Caenorhabditis elegans: one gene and its partners. The protein of the gene in region 4 interacts with the protein of the main gene of each other region in a pairwise test. Each region holds a gene or a part of one and is shown on either strand. Other genes may lie near its edges.

Region 1 (3,138 bases), on a different chromosome or scaffold from region 4:
AAAAACCAAAACTGTTGCTCCGCTTTTAATTTGCTCTGAAATATTAAACATGAAAAATATACACAAAAAAGTATGCTCAACATAAAAAAAGTTCAAAAAATATTTTGTGACTATAACAACAAAATATTTTTTATAAAGAGATTGTAAACATTTCAAACGTTTCAAATGCAATAAAAAAATTTTAATTTTAGATTTTGAGATTGAAAAATGTTGTCCTCTAATTAGTTGTCCTCTGGAAAGAGTTGGCTAAGACGCCTTTGGTCGTAAAAATTTTTAGTCCTTTTTGACGTCACACCATATCAAAATACGGTTGTATTATTTTATGTTTTTACAGTCCGATTGGAAACACATGCATATAAAACCGTTCTTACTAGGCAAGTTTCCGAAATTTTCAAACCAACTTTAGCAACATCTAATATAATAATTTCTTTATGTGCTTTTACAAATCGCATCTAACTGTGATATCTGATTCTGATTGCAAAATGTGAGTGTATAAAGGATTTTTTTATTCGGATCGAACTCTAGTTAGAGTACAGTATATCCAAATTTTCTGTTCAGTGAGATCAAGATATATGTATCTATCTATTTTTTCAAAATGAAAAAAAGAAAACAAATGAGTTTTACTATTTCTTATCAACCGAAGCCATAAATTTCGCTTTGCTTTTTTCAATCTTTTTTCCAATTTTTCGTGCAATCCAACGTACTTGTAATCTGGTTCGTCCATCTATTTCATCCCAAGGGAATCAAGTGTCGAATCATCAAACTCCGCCCATCTTTCCACCCATCCCCACCAGTTGAATAAGAATATGCTCATATGAGAAAAGTGTCTCGAATGCTCACTCATAAAACATGCAATTCTCTTTTGTTTTAATCTAATTATATCTGTTAGAATAATGAAAAAGACATTTTTCGGATAAAAAATTGAGAATAATTGAAAAGAAAGATGATGGTTGGGAAGAATACGATGATGGTGATGGAGTGCGTGTCTTTTCAAAAATTCTTATTCCTCATCTCGTCATTTTCTCTTCTTTTCTTCCAAAAAAATCGAGTATTCTTCTTTGTTGAGCTTCTCCTCCATCCCAAAAAAGTAGAGCAACAAGACGAGAAAAATGTTCTCAAACAAATACATTCATTTGTGTATATGTCGAGTGTTTGGAAGGACACTCTTCCTTTTCTAACTGCTTACTTGTTCCCATTTCTTTTCTGGGATTTTTAGGTTTCTTTGATTTTCGTTATAGAGCTGACTTTGTGGTTCTTAGAATATTGAAATTTATGACAAAATCTGATCGTTTTTTTTCTGGGCTTTAATGTTTTTAGAGATACCAATTATTCATTTTTTCGTACTTTCCAGCTTTCCACTTACTTTCTTTTTTTCTCATTCTATATAAACTAGATAAATGTTTTCCCATTTTCTATTTATGTTTCCTTCCTCTCAATTCTTATAGAATCAACAAATTGACCAATATTTCAAGAACTCTCTCTCACTCACTTACTTTTTACTTTTCCTACCTACAACTGCTCTTCGTCGAGAACACAACTTGTCTAGAAAAAGTGACACTTCTCTCCAAACTTCTCACTTCCGAATTTGAATTGCAAATTTGTGCTCAATGAGCACCATTTCTCCCCTCGTCCCACTGGGAATAATTTGTTGTTCCGAAATTTTGATTCTTTGCAGCCAACGACGTCATTCAGCTTCTCTTCCAAAAATGGTCAACGAGCTGTCGTTCAACTGTGAGGACGCATGGCTTAACCTTTTTGTTGGTGGAGAAATGTATCCAGTTCAAGTAAAAACTCTTATGAATCCAACAACCTGTGGATCTTATTTTCGGGATGTGGTTAAAGTATCTGATGCAGCAATAAAGGTTCGAGGAGTTCAATGGGATACTGCACCAAATCATATCAAGTTTCGAGTCGATATTGATAGAGATGGAGTTCTTTTTCGACATGTTAGTATTTCAATTTGAACATTTTCATTAAGTACATAGTTGGTGACCTCGTTGATTAGCACATGTTTTACACATACCGAATAAGAAAACTTATTTACCAAATATTTTGCAATTTTTTTCGGTCACTCAAAAACGGTGCCTCACCAAGAGCGAAATACTTTTAAACGCAAACAGGTGCCCCTTTAAATCTACAGTAACACGTGCCTTGTTTCGAAACTTCGACGCACATTTTTGGCCTCTTCGATTGAAAATATTTATTTCTTGGCAAGAGCAGGAACCGTATTTTGAGGGAAATATCAGAAAATTAACAAAATTCAGTCTCTGCTCAATGAGCACCTCTAAAAAGTTCGCCCGAATGACAATCAAACAAAATAAGTTTGTACGTGAAAAATAATATTTTCCATTTCCAGGTGCTCCAATATCTCAGAAATGGAAAACTTACAAGCCTCCCCGATGATATTTTCACTCTTGAGTCCCTAGTCGCCGAGGCAGAGTTTTTCGGTCTCGAAAAATATCGTGAAATGCTTAAAAAGAAGTTGTGGAAGTTGACTGGCAAACGACAGTACTACGCGTGCTATGAGGATTCTGATTAAAGTGGTAGCTAGAATCAATTTTATTATCCAATAAATGATAAAGATGACAATTTAGATTTTAATAAATAGAAAATGTCTGAAATCAAAAATCTACCAGAGAAGACAACACGGATTGGGGGAAGAAACTAGACAGGTTGTAGCGGAATGAGTTAAAAATGAGAAAATTATATGATAATGAGAAGAAACTTAAAGAGAAAAACGGTTTAAAATGGCATATCGAGACCGGGACAGGCATTCATACTATCACCTTCTTTCTTTCTTTTTTTTTGAGTTCATTTTTTAAAGTTTTGACCGGCAACGAGACAAACGGGGAGAGAGAGACAAGAGAGATAGAGAAAGGGAGAAAATAAAAAAGATAGTTACATGATGAGTTGACTACATTTTTACAATTTGTTCACTGAATTCTGAAATTAAAGAGAAGGGTAAATACTGACTGATTCTAACAAGATTAAGTTGAACTTGATGATGATGGTTAGAGCTCCAATGAGTGAACTCTCATGCTATCACCAACTGCCATTATGATAGCTGAATTCCCTGGTCGACCACCCCAACAATCCGAGTAGACGGCTCTTGGGAAGATTGGATTGGAATGATTTGGA
Region 2 (5,051 bases), on a different chromosome or scaffold from region 4:
AATATTTCGTTCGTGGCGAGACCTTTTTCACAAACAATTTACAATAGTCCAAAAAATTTCAGCATACTGGAAAACCAGGCCAGATTGAATGCTCCCGAGTTTCGGCGGGGGGTGCGTGTAACTACTCGGTTTGTTTGACAATTTGGAAGAGCTGCGAGAGAGCGAAATAGTGTTGATTTTGGGGAGTGCGCAGAACGGGTGAGCTAGATTTTCGGGTTGGTTGCACGTTTTTTTTCTTGCTCGGTTGTGCATGAGACGCGCGCGAGCAAGGGTCGACCTGAGTTTTTGACACGTCACAGTTATAGATACCATGCATTTAAAAAATAATTAACAATCGAATCTCAAATTTCATGTATTTTAACAAATAAATAGCCAAAGTATTTTAACAGAACAAATGAAAAAAACAAAAAAAATTCGGTGCCTCATGCTGGAATCGAACCAGCGACCTTCTGTTTACTAGACAGACGCTCTGCCACTGAGCCAATGAGGCGCTGGGTGAAAGGGGGAAAAAGGTCGAAGAAGAGACTTATGTCGCTGCCGCTGCCGGCGTCGCACGAAGACTATACTTTCGGCGGTCGTAAAATTGCCGGCACACGCCAACCATAATTGTCGTACGAGATACTTGAACGAAGAATGTGACGTCGGCGTCTGGAATCATTGATTTTTTGATTTTTTTGAAATTTTTTCAGATTTTTAGAGACACTAACGATTTAGGCTAACTCTCGCAGTCGGAGCCAGCGCACAAACGGCGTCATCGACCATTTGGAGCACGGAATTCTTCGCCACAGAATCGTTATTTCTCGCTTTAAATTCCACGGAATACGTGGGAAGTTTGCCAGTGCCGTCTGCCTTCAATGTGTCGGAGATTACCTGAAAAATTACTTTTTTTTATTTTATTAATTAATTTAATTAAATAAAAGCACCTTCATCAAAACTTCATTCATTTTTGAAAGATCCACAGCTAAAGTATGCTCCACCGGGTAAACTCGTTGCAAAAACCTGCAACGCGGAGCTTTTTGCGTCAGCTCGACCATTTTTTCGGCTAAAAGTTGAATATTCGCGTTTTTCACGCTCACAAAAATGCAATTCTTCACTCCCGTCGGTCTTTGAATGCATCTTCTCTCTTTTTTCACGAAATTTCCCGGCTTCGGCTGCCTCTGATCATCACAAGCCTTTTTCAACGCATCGGCAATGTCTTCATCGGAATCTTCAGCTTCTGCTGGATTTCCGGGTGCTTCTGAGCCTTGTGGAGCAGCTTCTGGTGCTTTAAGAGAGATTCCATTCGCCGGGTCTTCGAGAAGCTCGTCAATAATACTGTAGGCTTCTTGTAGGGCCTGCTTTTCGTGGCCTTCGCAGGAAAAGAATAGTCCGGTCACTCCGGCTTCCACAGATTTTTGTTTAACTCTGAAATTGTCTTAGAATAGTTTTTTTTTCTCAAATTTTAGCTCTCACTTTTGATTCCATCGGTTATGCTTTCGTTTTCTGTCGTTATCTGCCATTTTCAGTGATTTTTTCTGGAAAAATTGAAATTTTTGAATGAAAATTATTGTTTTTGAAGTTTTTTAACGAAAAATCAACGAAAAATGCGAAAAAAACACATAAAAACAATTAAAAACAAAAAAAAACAATTAATATTCCCTCCAACTTCTCTAAATCTCTTCTCTCTTGCACGTAACCACAGAGCGCGTTTGCACACCTTTAATTGCAGAGTCACCACCACTTTATGTGAAACAAACTACGAAAAAGAGGCGGTTCTTTACAGCGAAACTTGAAAAGAGCAGCCTCACTTGATAATTAGATGAAAAAATTTTGAATATACATTTACTATTTTGACGGAAACGCTGGAATTTGCGAAAATTTCGTGATGGCGTGCAAAATGACCCGCACCTTTTTCCGGTATTCTTCTTCTAGAAAATATATATTTCCTGAAAAAAAAGCTGAAATTCACAATTTTTCGAGCAATTTTTGATGTATAATAAGTATATATCCCGAACAATTTACCAGTTTTTTCCCGATTCACCAGTAAATTTGCTTCACATTTGAACTGAACTATAGGTTATCTCGAGATTTTTATCTATGTACCATGTGTTGCGACATTACGAAAAAAACGAGTTCCGACACAAAGGCCATGCAATTAGGTAGTAAATTGGGTGACTAACTGTGTGACGCGGCTATTATGGGTACGCAGAAAAATCCACGTGGAAACGCGCTCCACTGCCAATAGGAAATTCTCGGCCCCCGCACCATGACCCGCTAGGTGTTTGGCGGCAAAATAGTACATTCGAACGTTTTGGATTAGTTATGCCGATTTCGCCGGTTTCCAAGAATTTTTTGCCATTTTTTTCCTGTTTCAAATTTCCCGTGGTTTTAATGTTTTTAGGCCAAATTGGTGTTTTTAGGCCAAAATGACGAATTTCTGATTACCCTCATAAATTGAAATGGAAGAGTTTGCCAAACTAGGCCATTTTGGCTCGGCCATTACTGGGGTAGATTTACGGCGAGTTGAGTGTCGCGCCGCGGCTCGATTTTAGTTGTAAAACTAAATGCATTTGTCCGTGTGGAGTACACGATTTACCCACGCGTTTTCCTTCGGACGATTATCAATGGAGCGCAAAAAATTCAATGAGGAAGGGTAGAACCCCGTTATTTCGGCAATTTTCCTGTTTTAATGATTTTTAGGCCAAAATCACGGGGTTCTGTCTTTCCTCAGAGAATTTTTCGCGCTCCATTGACAATCGCCCGGCGGACAACGCGTGTTAAAATCGTGTACTCCACACGGACAAATAGACTTAGTTTTACAACTAAAATCGAGCCGCGACGCGACACGCAACGCGCCGTAAATCTACCCCACTTATGGCCGAGCCAAAATGGCCTAGTTTGGCAAACTCTTCCATTTCAATTTATGAGAGGGAAGCCAGAAATCCGTGGTAGCTTACAAAATGAAATTCCAGAAAAAGTAAAATAGTTACCACCTACCGTATTAGAGCTTGACGGCATAGTTGGCGCCTCCGCGGTAGATCTGTTGAAGGTCCACATGTTTTTTTTTCGTGGTGTGTGTCGCCTGTCAGTCTGGTATTCTAGATGCCAGCTTCTTCCTCTCTCGATTCACTTCCCGCCCCCTGATTTTTTTGTGTGTGTCTGCGCCCCCACAGTGTCTCTCTCAACCTGTCTTGTACGTCCTGCGTCTTTTGTTACAGCTTCTGGTATCTTCTGAATATACCACAGCAGGAGGGGGACAGTCAGTTGATTGGCAGACAAAAACATGGCAATTATTTAGTGACAAGCTTTATGATTGTAGGCTTTAGGGTCTGGAGACTTGGGGATAGGACCCTGAACGGGATGTTTTGTTGAGGATGGGCACTTTGACCTCCAGAAAGCGCGGGAAATTATTGAAATTTGTGACGTCATATGAGTTTATAATGAGGCGCCAGTAGGTCAAACGATTTCTGTAGGTCAAGCCCTGAATAATGTCCGTCACAGTCGGCTGGTGCGTTGGAGCACATTTGATTATATTCAGGCCATTTTGACTCGGCCACGGCTGGGGTCGATTTTTGCCGGAATTGAAAATTTTCGGCAAATCGGCAAAATGCCGGAATTTAAAATTTTCGGCAAATTGGCACATTACCGGAAATGAAAATGTCCGGCAAATCAAGAAATCGCCGGAATTGACAATTTAGGACAAACTGGCAAATTTGCCGGAATTTAAAATTTCCGGCAAATCGGCAAATTGCCATAATTGAAAATTTCCTGCACATCGGCAAACTGGCGGAATAGAAAATTTCCGGCAAATCGGGAACTCGCCGGAATTGACAATTTCCGGCAAATCGGGGAGTTGCCGGAATTGAAAATTTCCGGCAAATCGGCAAACTGGCAAATTGCCGGAGTTGAAAATTTCCGGCTAATCGTGAAATTTGCCGGAATTCAAAATTTCCGGCAAATCGGCAAAATGGCAAATTGCCGAATTTGAAACCTTCCTTTGCCGAACTGCAATTTCCGCTCACCGATTTTCAATGGAGCGCGAAAAACCGCTACTAGAAGCCCGTGATGATGATCTACTGTAGATCAATGTGAAATTTTTCCCGCGTCCGGGCATAGAACAAAAATTTTATTTTTTAAAAACCAGCTTCTCTTCCTCCTAAAATTTCCCTTTTTATCGCCCTACCCCTCCCCCTTCAACCCAGATTTCTCTTATCACCCCCCCCCCCCCCCCATCACTAATTTTCTAATTTTCCTTTCACTTTCATACAGTAAGCGGCAAAAAATAATTGCGAAGAAATAATAATTCATTACATATTGAGAATTTCGGGGGACTACTAGATAGAGATAACCGGTGCTGCAGCAGCTCCAATAAGCTTCTTCTCCTCGGCCTTCTTTTTGAGCCAGTCGAGAATGTTCTTGTCACGACGAATCGCCACTGAATCCGTTGTCAGGGACTGAAAGATTAGTTTTTAGTGAAGCCCTAGGTACCTAGGCACAAAAATGCCTGCCTGCTTCCAAGCCGGCCTAGATCTTTTCTCACCTGTGGTAGTACTCCGCGCTTGAAGTTGTTCGAGACAAATGAGGTATACAGACCGGAGAATCCCGAGAAATTGGTGACCAAGTCTGAGGAGAAGCACAGGTACAAAGTGTTGCTCGTCGATGTTATTGGAGCTGGCATATTCTTTCCGGAATAACTGAAAAAATGGTTATTTTATAGTATCCTTGGATTAAGATCAGTGGGGGATATGGTCGGGGTACTGTAGGAGTATTGTAGGATTACTGTAGTTTAGGAACACTTGAGTTTTTGTCTTTTGAAGGGATATTGGTTTAGGGTCAGTGGGGGATATGGTCGGGTACTGTAGAATTTCTGTAGTTTAGGCAAAATTGAGTTTTTGTCTTTTGAAGGGGTATTGGTTCAGGGTCAGTGGGGGATAAGGTCGGGGTACTGTAGAGGTACTGTAGGATTACTGTAGAATTACTGTAGTTTAGGCAAAGTTCAGTTTTTGTCTTTTGAAGGTATGTTGGTTTAGGGTCAGTGGGAGATATGGTCGGGGTACTGTAGTAGTACTGTA
Region 3 (5,635 bases), 6.7 Mb from region 4:
ACCCATGCTTCATATCTTATTGTTTTCTTACCCTGGTCACTTTGTGGCATTAATACTTTCTTTCAGCGTTCTATCAAACGTTTGTTCTCTTTGGAGCTAAGGCAAACCGCGCAACTTACGATTGAAGAATGGCTTCGAACCAAGAACTGGCTTGCGTCTACGCTGCTCTCATCCTTCAAGATGACGAGGTCGCCATCACCGGCGAGAAGATCGCTACCCTTCTCAAGGCCGCCAACGTCGAGTTCGAGCCATACTGGCCAGGACTCTTCGCCAAGGCTCTCGAGGGAGTTGATGTGAAGGTAAGGATTTCTCATAAGTATATTCAAGTTTCACCCCGATTGTTTTCAGAACCTCATCACTTCTGTCTCTTCCGGAGCCGGATCTGGACCAGCTCCAGCCGCCGCCGCTGCTGCTCCAGCTGCTGGAGGAGCCGCCCCAGCTGCCGAGACCAAGAAGAAGGAGGAGCCAAAGGAGGAATCCGATGACGACATGGGCTTCGGTCTCTTCGACTAAAGATCTTGTTATTTGTTTTCAATAAATCTGTTAACAACACCAAGAAAGTGTTTATGGCTTCAAAAGTGAAAAAAGGAGGTTATTTTGGCACTACTCGATTGTTCAGAACGTTTTGAATCCTTTGTATCCGGCTATATTGTCGACCAGGCGCTTTTGGTGGCAAGAAATAGTTGTCTTTCAGAATGATAGTTGGCTCTTCTTTAACACTGTTAGATTCCGGCGAAACAGGCTTCGTGCTTGTTTGTGAGATTCTGCAAAAACTGAAACAATCGGATTTCTCAAGTAAATTAATGTGACTCACTTTACAGGATCTCGTGGAGTTCCTGTTTCAGGCGTGCTCTGAATGATATCTGATGGTATTGTCGAGCTGGCAAGCGACATCGGCGGACTTTCTTCAATATGAACCGACGCGGACTTCGGATCCGATGGAGGATCAGGCGGGATCGGTGGTTGCACAGGTGGTTGGTTCCGAAGTTCCAGGCCAGCCACGTCGGCTTTCAAAGCATCGTGCTCCACTTTCATTTGCATCAGTCTCCGTTGTTCTTTGGCTTCTTCCTGACGGATCCTCAACGCCAACTCGGCGGTTTTAACACCCTCGGATAATTCCACATAGTGCTCAGAAATCTGAAAAAAAGGAAAATTTTAAAAATTCTAGAAAATGAAATGGGAATCCTACAGAATCGATGAATCTGACAAACTGCTCCTGATACTCATTTCTATCCTTTTTCGCCCTCGCCATCACCGTCAATGTGGCACTTTTTATGTTATCAAGCTGAAAATCGGTGGAATTTTGAATTTCTACCTTGAAGCGCACTCACATATCCGTTATACTTGTTGAAATGCGAGAAAAGTACGATTTTGTGTTGTCCCGCCTGGATTTTAGTCTGTGAAAAGAGGTTTGCGTGATAGAGAAGGAACACTGGGGGATGAAGAAGACGGGGACAGTTTACGGGAAATTATTTAAGTCACTCAAAGTCACTCACTTCATTCGAAATTTCCACGTCATCAAATTCTCGATTGTTCTGATTGTTGAGGAGCAGAAAAATTGGCTTTTTCTGCACATGTGGATTGCTGGTTAGGGAGTGGAGAGCCTGGAGAATGATAATTTTTTAAAAGTAATTTATTACCGAGACTTGAAATTTTGACCGAAAATACGGTATCCGGTCTCGACACGACAAATTTCTGTGAAATGCGAAAAGGTGTGCGCCTTTAAAGATTACTGTGGTTTTAAACGTTCTTTGCCCGATTTTTCATAGTTTTTCGAAAATATATGTGGTTTTAATTGTTTTATCACGAATTTCTGGCTTCCCTAGGAATTAATGGAATTTCCTCATAAATTGAAATGGAAGAGTTTGCCGAACTAGGCCAGTTTGGCTCGGCCATATCTGGGGTGGATCTACGGCGCGTTGCGTGTCGCATCGCGGCTCGGTTTTAGTTGTAAAACTACCGTATTTTTTCTATTAATATAGCTGCAATACTATTTTTCGATGGTCTTCCCGCTTGCAATACTAATAGGGAGTGCAAGACTATTAGGGAGTGCAATATTACACTCAAGATAAGAAAACTGCGTGGCGTGTACTGCAGAAAACCTCATATTTAGGCCCCGCCTTTTTCACTAATAGGGAGTGCAATACTAATTTTCGGAGGGTGTTCAAGGAGCAATACTAATAGGGAGTGCAAGTCTAATAGGGAGGCCATATTAATAGAAGAAATACGGTAAATGAAATTACTGTACTTTTGCCTAAAAATTTTTAAAGGAGCACACCCGTTTTAGTTTTTTGCAAAAAGTTGTCGTGTCGAGACCGGATAGCGTATTTTGAGCCTAAAAATCTTATTTCATAACTTTTAGGAATAATTCATAATCCTTATCAATTTCGTAACTTCTCTCACCTCAATCGACTCGGTGAATGTCTCATCCGTTGAATAATCAATCACATAGATGATTCCGTGAACCTTAATTTATTTAGAATAATTATAATAATCACGGTTTGATCTACAAAAATGCGGGAATTTTTCTCCCAAAAAAATGTGACGTCAAAACGCTCTTAACCATGCGAAATCAGTCCCGCATTTTTTGTAGATCCACGTGTAATAAGAGTTTTCAAAAATTCTCCAGTGTGAAAGTGCGCCCTATCGCATGCACACACACACACACACCTCAGCATAATAATTGCTCCAAATTCCACGTATTCCCTTATCCCCGCCAACATCGTAGATCGTCAAATGAAAAGTCTCATCATACTCCATTTTCACTGTGGAGAACCCGTTGGTACGGAGCAAATCCCGCGGATCTTCTGGATTAAATTCAAATTTTAAAATAATTTCGGATTGAGCGACGGAGCGCACTTGCTTACCTCCCTTGAGAACTTTCAAAAATGTGGTTTTTCCGGCGCTTCCGATGCCAAAACATCCGAGTTTGATTTCTCTGAAAAAAAACCTATTGGGTCTCGGCACGATCTATGGGAATTCATCAAACTAAAAATATTGCTCAGATGCGGAAACTTGCGGATTTGCGTCTCGACACGACAATTTTTGTAAATTGCAAAACGGTGTGCGCCTTTAAAGAGTACTGTAATTTCTGGGTTTCGTTGATGTGTAATTCTCATGTGGGAAAATTGCTTTAAAACACGCATATGGCGTCACAATGACCGAATATCATGATAAAAAAATTCAAAAATTTTTTCTAGATTTTATATGATTTTTTGAAAATTGAAAAAATCTCAGTTTTCCCCTAATTCCTATTTGAATTTCCGCCAATTGAACTTGTTCGATGGAGCGCACTTGCATTATTTTTATTTATTTATTTTATTTTTCTTATTTTTCGGCCTATTTTCTTCATTTTTTTGTGTTTTTTATCGGAAAATGCGAGAAATAAACTAGAAAAATGCAAAATGCTTGTTAAAAAGTAACTGAAAATGCCTAAAACTGTAAAATATACTAATTTCAGGCTTGTCGTCGGAAATCATAATTTTACAGTTTTACGCCTTTTCAATTATTTTTTAACAAACATTCTGCAATTACCTTGTTTTGTCATTTTAATTTCCATTAAAAACGCAAAAAAAAAGAAAATCAGTGGAGAATAAATAAAATAAATGAATAAAAATAATTTTTAATATATTTTCATGGCAAAAATCGATCGGAAAATATTAAAAATAGCTGAATTTTCGACTTTAAATATAATTTTTTTTCCAAAAAACCTCGAATAAGGAAACATTTTTGGATTTTCCGTTTTACATCTTCAAAATTTCATAAAAAATGCTTTCAAGCAAACGATTTTCATTTAAAAAAATAAGCCTAAGAATATCGAATTACCGTCTGATAATAGGTGTACGATGGCAACAACAGCAGAAAATAGTTTCGAACCACGACTTTTCGGTCATTTCTTCTCACTTTCTACGCATTTCCTTGCGGTAAAGTGTGTGGTGTCGAAATCGAGGAGATTAGTTACGCAAGAAGTTGCTCTCGGCTTTCACGAGCGGCGGTTGCCATAGTTACCAGAGCCCGAGAGAGCACAAGAATTGTGGAGAGAAGCCGCGGGGTGGGAGGAAGAGATGAGGTGAGGCGGCGGCCGAAGAAGACAATCAGAAACTGGCTCTGATAATGATTAGGTTGGCGAGCTGCCAAGTGATCATACATTTTTCAGGAGAAGGAGACAGAGGCATTCATTTTTTTGGGAAACCCATACGATGTTTTTTTAAATACGAATAAAATAAAACAAAAATGATCAAAAAAAAGTGAGAATTAATCAATCACATCTTCAATGGGTCCACTTTGGCGACCTTCTTTGCGTTTGCAGCAGCTGCAGCGGCTTCGGCTTCTTTCTTGGCTGCCGCTTTCTCCTGCTTGATACGCATGACGTCAGCGTCGCGATTCATGCGAGCATCCATCGATAGACCCTGGAATATTTATTTGCAACTGGATATATATATGTGATTTGGAAATTTGAAATGAAAACTTACAGCATTTCCGTCTTGTCCAGAGGCTCCCTGGCGCTTCTTTTGATCGGCCAGTTTCTTTTGGTTCTTCTCACGAGCCAGATCTCTTTGATTTCCACGAGTCATTTTTGTTGGAGTTGTGCTGCTCAAAAACTGTGTTTCTCGGATCACACCGGAGCGCCGTCAGCGATGGACAAAGCCGCCGTATACGAGGTTTTCTGGAAGAAAAAAACAAAGAATCGATAAGAAAGTGTCGTGAACGCAGACCGTCTCGGTGACATAAATGACCGAGATTAGGAAATGCGCGGGATAAATGAGAGACGTCAGAATGATAGACAGTCTGACTAGCGGACACGTGGAACTTTTTGAAGGAAAACTTGTGGAAGGAGGTGTAGTTTAGGAAATTCTCAAATTCTCGCAAAATAATCACATCACATGGACAAATAAAGAATGAGCTGTGAACTCAATTATACAATATGACAAAAATTAAATTTAAAAAGCAAACTTGAATCAAATGTTTCATCAAATTTTGAGAAATTAGTGAAGAAAAAGAGGAAAAACGGTGGAAAAAAGTAAAAATTGAGATTCGGCCACAACAAAACAGAAAAACAACAACAATTGAAAGGGGCTCCGATTACTTTTCCAGCGGATGGTAGTTGAGAAGCTTCTCGATGAGATCCACGTGAGCCAGAAGCATTCTTCGGCAACAGTAGCGACGAAGACCGAGCGCGTCGAGAGCATCTCCTGAGAGAAACGAGATTTTTTTCATTCAGTAAATCCGAGAATTTTAAAAACCTTCACTGTATTCCGACTGCAAGAATCCGAGATACGTCTCCCACTTGTCGCCGATGACTTTGCCGCATGTGAAGCATCTGATTGGGATAATCATCTTGTGATTTTGCTGAAATTTTCGAAAATTGAAGATGAAAACTGCACTTTTTCGAGATTTTTGGTGAAGTTTTGAACGAAACACTTTTGCCACAAGCTAATTGTAAAGTTTTTGAAGAGAAACTTCAAGAAAATCAAGTTAAATCACAAAAAATGGGGGCAGAAATTCTAGAAATTGAAAATTGTTCAAAATACGCAATGCGCGTGAAATATGGTGTTTTCAGTGCATTTGTCACAGCGGTGTTTGCACAGTTGTCGACCGTAGTTGCAGCAAAGATTTTAAAATTGGTTTTCCAATT
Region 4 (3,631 bases):
TCCAATCAGACGATTTTTTGTAGTTACTGTTTTTGGGCCACTTCCATCAGCGTTTCGATTAACTTTTTTATTTCGGTAAGGATCAACTCCGACGATTTTTGTAAGTTTCTTCTCACAGTCTCCACACACCATATTCTGCGAAAAAAAAGCCGTATTGTAAGATGTATGTTTTTTTACAAAATGAAATATTAAGATGCTCGAACGACATGTTGTAGAAACATTCTGAGGTTGTCAATCAAATTTAATTCATTCATGATAACAGGAGAGATACGAAAATCAACGAGAAGAGTTAATAATAACGTAAATAAATTAGAGATCCAAATAGTTTACTGCTGCTGGGCATGAGCTTGAAGTTCATTTGAAAGAGCCATATTTAGTTCCTCCAGTTTTCTCTTCAAGATTCCGATTCCCATTGTCACGATTCGCTGTGCTGGAAGAGCACCAGTTCCTTCGACTGAAACATTTAAAATTATAAGCAAAATATCTGACCGTGACTTACTAGAGAACCAGAACTTGTTAGGCTTGTTGTCCGGCTCGAATGGTGCCTCCTTTTCAGTGCTGTCTTCTGGTAAAGATGAATGATCGCTTCTGCAAAAAAAATGTACGAAATTCACAAAATACTGATAATAGTTCTTACCTTGGCCATTCCTCAACATTCGGATAAATTGTATGTCGGAGAGCATTGTCTGGATCATATTCAAATGCAACTCCACAGGTGGGATTCCATTTTGCATGTTCCTTTCCGAAACCCTTTTTAACATAGGCTTTTAGGTTAAGCTCTTGTCCCTTACGCAATTTTACAATCAGAATCTCTTCTCTGTTGTGAAATTCGTCACGGGTCGATCCACGCTCACGTAGTGCTTTTCCACAAGCTGGTCGGACGGTCTGTAAAATTCCAATTCAAATATTTATCAAATGTAGTGAAGTACGGACCCTAATAAGATTGCTCATCGATTTTATTTAAACGTTATTAATATTATTATTGAAATTTAATTCACTCCATTAAAAAAAAATGAGTTGCATTTTTTTAAATTTACCGTGTCTAAATTATGCATTGGCATTAGATGCTCGGTAGTAACAGCCAAAGTAGCTTCATCTTTACATTTCATCTGCAGAATGAACGGTATCGAACACTCATCGCAGAACTCGGCACATTCACAATCCTAAAACCAACATTTAAAAAGTTGTGAAAGATTCAACCCTATCTTACTCTGGTGTATTGCATTTTTTCGACATGATAATCAGATATGAACGGAATCAAACCCATGCGATGTGCAATAAATTCGTCGTGGAGGACAGAAGTGTTAGTTTCAATTTGAACCCAATCAATAGCTATGGTTGGCACCTGAAATGTAATTAAAAATATAGAAAGAGTAATGGTAAACAGGAAACAACTCACTTCTGCCATGAAAACTCGTCTCAGTGAATTTGCGACACTCAAATCAGTGTCCCACAGTACAAACTTGATTATATCATTTGTCAGTTCGGTAACCTCGATGTTAGGTTGATTTGCGTACGGCATTACTAAAAATGATTATTATAAGGAAAAATGAAAAATCTAATTATTGAATTGAAAACATTTAAGTCGAACAGAAATTCAAAACAAAACGTCGCTAAACAACACGCACATTCGTTATTTCGGAGTGTCGTTTCAGGTTCTCGGTTGGTAAGCGAAGTACGGTAACACTCATTTCAACTGTGCGCTTTTGTCACTGCACAATTTCAAATAATCATTTTTTAATTATTTTTTCGTTTTAAAGTTAAAAATGGTTCAGAGTTATTTCAAATTTTAAAATTTTTCAGATGAACAGATACGATCGTGCTATCACTATCTTCTCCCCTGATGGACACTTGTTCCAAGTGGAATATGCCCAGGAAGCTGTCAAGAAGGGTTCGACTGCGGTGAGTGGTTCCCCTGATGAAAATCAGTTGGCAGAAAATTATATGAGTTGCACTTTCATATGAATATGATATCAGCTAGAATTGAAGCACCCGATTCAAGAAGATTTTAGATCTATTTATCGTTTTATATTTAAAAATAAATCAAAAAATTCAATGTAGATGATTGATATTATCTATCTAAAAATCTAAAATTTCCCGAATTATGGTTCAAAATAATACGGTTATTTTTAAAACCTCAAGTTATAATTATGAATGTTTCAGGTCGGTGTTCGCGGAAAGGATTGCATTGTTATCGGTGTTGAGAAGAAGTCAATTCCAGCTCTTCAAGATGACCGCACAATCCGTAAAATTCATATGATCGACGACCATGTGATGCTCGCTTTTGCTGGATTGTCCGCAGATGCTCGTGTTCTTGTTGATCGTGCTCGTATCGAGTGCCAGTCGTACAAGTTGACTCTTGAAGATCCAGTTACCGTTGCCTATATCTCCAGATATATTGCAAACACGAAGCAGGTATAAATATTTTATTTATGCAAGCATAACTTTTACTGATTTTCAGCGCTTCACACAATCTCCAGGACGTCGCCCATTCGGAATTTCAATGCTCATTGGAGGATTCGATCATGACGGAACTCCACGTCTTTTCAAAACCGAGCCATCTGGAGCTTACTACGAGTACGTTGCCAACGCGACTGGAAGAGGAGAGAAACCAGTGCGTGAATACCTTGAGGAGCAATACAGCGAGGAAAATACTGTCGACGAAGCTACCACTCTTAAATTGGTTGTAAAGTCGCTGGCTCAGGTCGTACCACCAGGATCACAAAATATCGAGATTGCAGTCATGAAAAAAGTTAATGTAAGTGATTTCCACCTGAGATTATTTTCAGTAATAACATTTTTTTAAATTGAAGATGGTCCTTAATTTTAATTTTTTAGGATGAGCTGCAGCAACGTGTATTGTCAACTGAAGAAATCGAGGCTCTCCTGAAGGTTGTTGAGACAGAACGTGTGGCTGCTGAGGCTGAAGAGGCTGCATCCAAGAAGAAGTAGATTCGAACTTTTGTCTTCTGTCCATTATCCGTGTGTATTGATTTCCCAGTTATCTGCTCCCCTTTTCAAAACCTAATTTATTTTATTCATCTTTATTGACGGGAATGAAAAAGTTTTCCCTAAAATCTTCGAAATTCCTTTAAAACCATGAAAAGAAAGAAGCTATATATTCGAAATGACAAGATAATTGTGGGGTTCATTTGAAAAAAAGAGAAAAATATATATAAAGAAAATTCCAATTCGGCGAGCAATGGTTTCTGAAACTTCTAGCTTTCTGAAATATGGTATCCTTAAATGAGATTTGTTTTATAAGTTAACCTACATTTTCGAATAGAACGCATAATCTCTGCAATAATAATCACAGTCATTTTTTTTCCTGAAGTTCATTTTTCATTCAAAATTCTTCGATGAACCGATTGAAGTGGCAGTGGTTATGCAAATTGTTCTATACATTTCCTCTCCCAAGCAGAGGACCTTTTCGGTGAAATTCCGAATAAAAGTGAGCGGTACAAAAAGAGGGAAAGGAGGCAAATTTGAATATATTTCATTTATAAGCCTTCAAAAGTCTCCTCCTAGACTTACAAGATGCCATTGCCCTACGGCTACTTTTTTTTTCAAATATTAGATCTATTAATTTTATTAGATCTATTAATAAGATCTAATTTTTATATAATAAACT

The links.
Region 1: the proteins of pas-4 (region 4) and F47D12.3 interact in a two-hybrid assay, tested with the Caenorhabditis elegans proteins (2 studies listed by BioGRID).
Region 2: the proteins of pas-4 (region 4) and kel-8 interact in a two-hybrid assay, tested with the Caenorhabditis elegans proteins (2 studies listed by BioGRID).
Region 3: the proteins of pas-4 (region 4) and arl-13 interact in a two-hybrid assay, tested with the Caenorhabditis elegans proteins (one study listed by BioGRID).

What each region holds. Positions count from the first base shown.
Region 1 is NC_003281.10:6,296,786-6,299,923, forward strand, and holds F47D12.3 (BTB/POZ domain-containing protein), read left to right. Parts: upstream 1-1,675; 5' UTR 1,676-1,706; coding exon 1,707-1,946; intron 1,947-2,356; coding exon 2,357-2,539; 3' UTR 2,540-2,589; downstream 2,590-3,138. Other genes in the region: putative WD repeat-containing protein F47D12.9, read right to left, coding at 3,012-3,138.
Region 2 is NC_003283.11:2,669,449-2,674,499, reverse strand, and holds the start of kel-8 (BTB domain-containing protein), read right to left. Parts: upstream 3,037-5,051; coding exon 2,977-3,036; intron 1,515-2,976; exon of another isoform or gene 1,500-1,514; coding exon of another isoform or gene 1,453-1,499; intron 1,405-1,452; coding exon of another isoform or gene 924-1,404; intron 871-923; coding exon of another isoform or gene 708-870; intron 649-707; coding exon of another isoform or gene 527-648; exon of another isoform or gene 333-526; intron 1-332. Other genes in the region: thum-1 (THUMP domain-containing protein), read right to left, coding at 527-648, 708-870, 924-1,404, 1,453-1,499; W02G9.4 (CUB domain-containing protein), read right to left, coding at 4,314-4,433, 4,520-4,673. UniProt on the Caenorhabditis elegans protein: Substrate-specific adapter of a BCR (BTB-CUL3-RBX1) E3 ubiquitin ligase complex that regulates degradation of glutamate receptors in neurons. The BCR(kel-8) ubiquitin ligase complex mediates ubiquitination and subsequent degradation of rpy-1.
Region 3 is NC_003279.8:2,064,007-2,069,641, reverse strand, and holds arl-13 (ADP-ribosylation factor-like protein 13B), read right to left. Parts: upstream 3,925-5,635; 5' UTR 3,894-3,924; coding exon 3,826-3,893; intron 2,939-3,825; coding exon 2,868-2,938; intron 2,808-2,867; coding exon 2,671-2,807; intron 2,467-2,670; coding exon 2,404-2,466; intron 1,605-2,403; coding exon 1,497-1,604; intron 1,398-1,496; coding exon 1,332-1,397; intron 1,286-1,331; coding exon 1,190-1,285; intron 1,138-1,189; coding exon 815-1,137; exon of another isoform or gene 774-814; coding exon 593-773; 3' UTR 548-592; downstream 1-547. Other genes in the region: rplp-1 (Large ribosomal subunit protein P1), read left to right, coding at 129-299, 349-513; moag-4 (Modifier of protein aggregation 4), read right to left, coding at 4,263-4,409, 4,473-4,574; rpb-10 (DNA-directed RNA polymerases I, II, and III subunit RPABC5), read right to left, coding at 5,083-5,192, 5,244-5,337. UniProt on the Caenorhabditis elegans protein: Cilium-specific protein required to control the microtubule-based, ciliary axoneme structure. Required for normal sensory cilium function. May act by maintaining the association between IFT subcomplexes A and B.
Region 4 is NC_003279.8:8,726,660-8,730,290, reverse strand, and holds pas-4 (Proteasome subunit alpha type-7), read left to right. Parts: upstream 1-1,803; coding exon 1,804-1,902; intron 1,903-2,163; coding exon 2,164-2,415; intron 2,416-2,461; coding exon 2,462-2,758; intron 2,759-2,838; coding exon 2,839-2,952; 3' UTR 2,953-3,073; downstream 3,074-3,631. Other genes in the region: C36B1.14 (Cysteine-rich PDZ-binding protein), read right to left, coding at 1-132; rpb-3 (DNA-directed RNA polymerase RpoA/D/Rpb3-type domain-containing protein), read right to left, coding at 327-454, 500-588, 638-885, 1,038-1,163, 1,211-1,345, 1,400-1,522. UniProt on the Caenorhabditis elegans protein: The proteasome is a multicatalytic proteinase complex which is characterized by its ability to cleave peptides with Arg, Phe, Tyr, Leu, and Glu adjacent to the leaving group at neutral or slightly basic pH.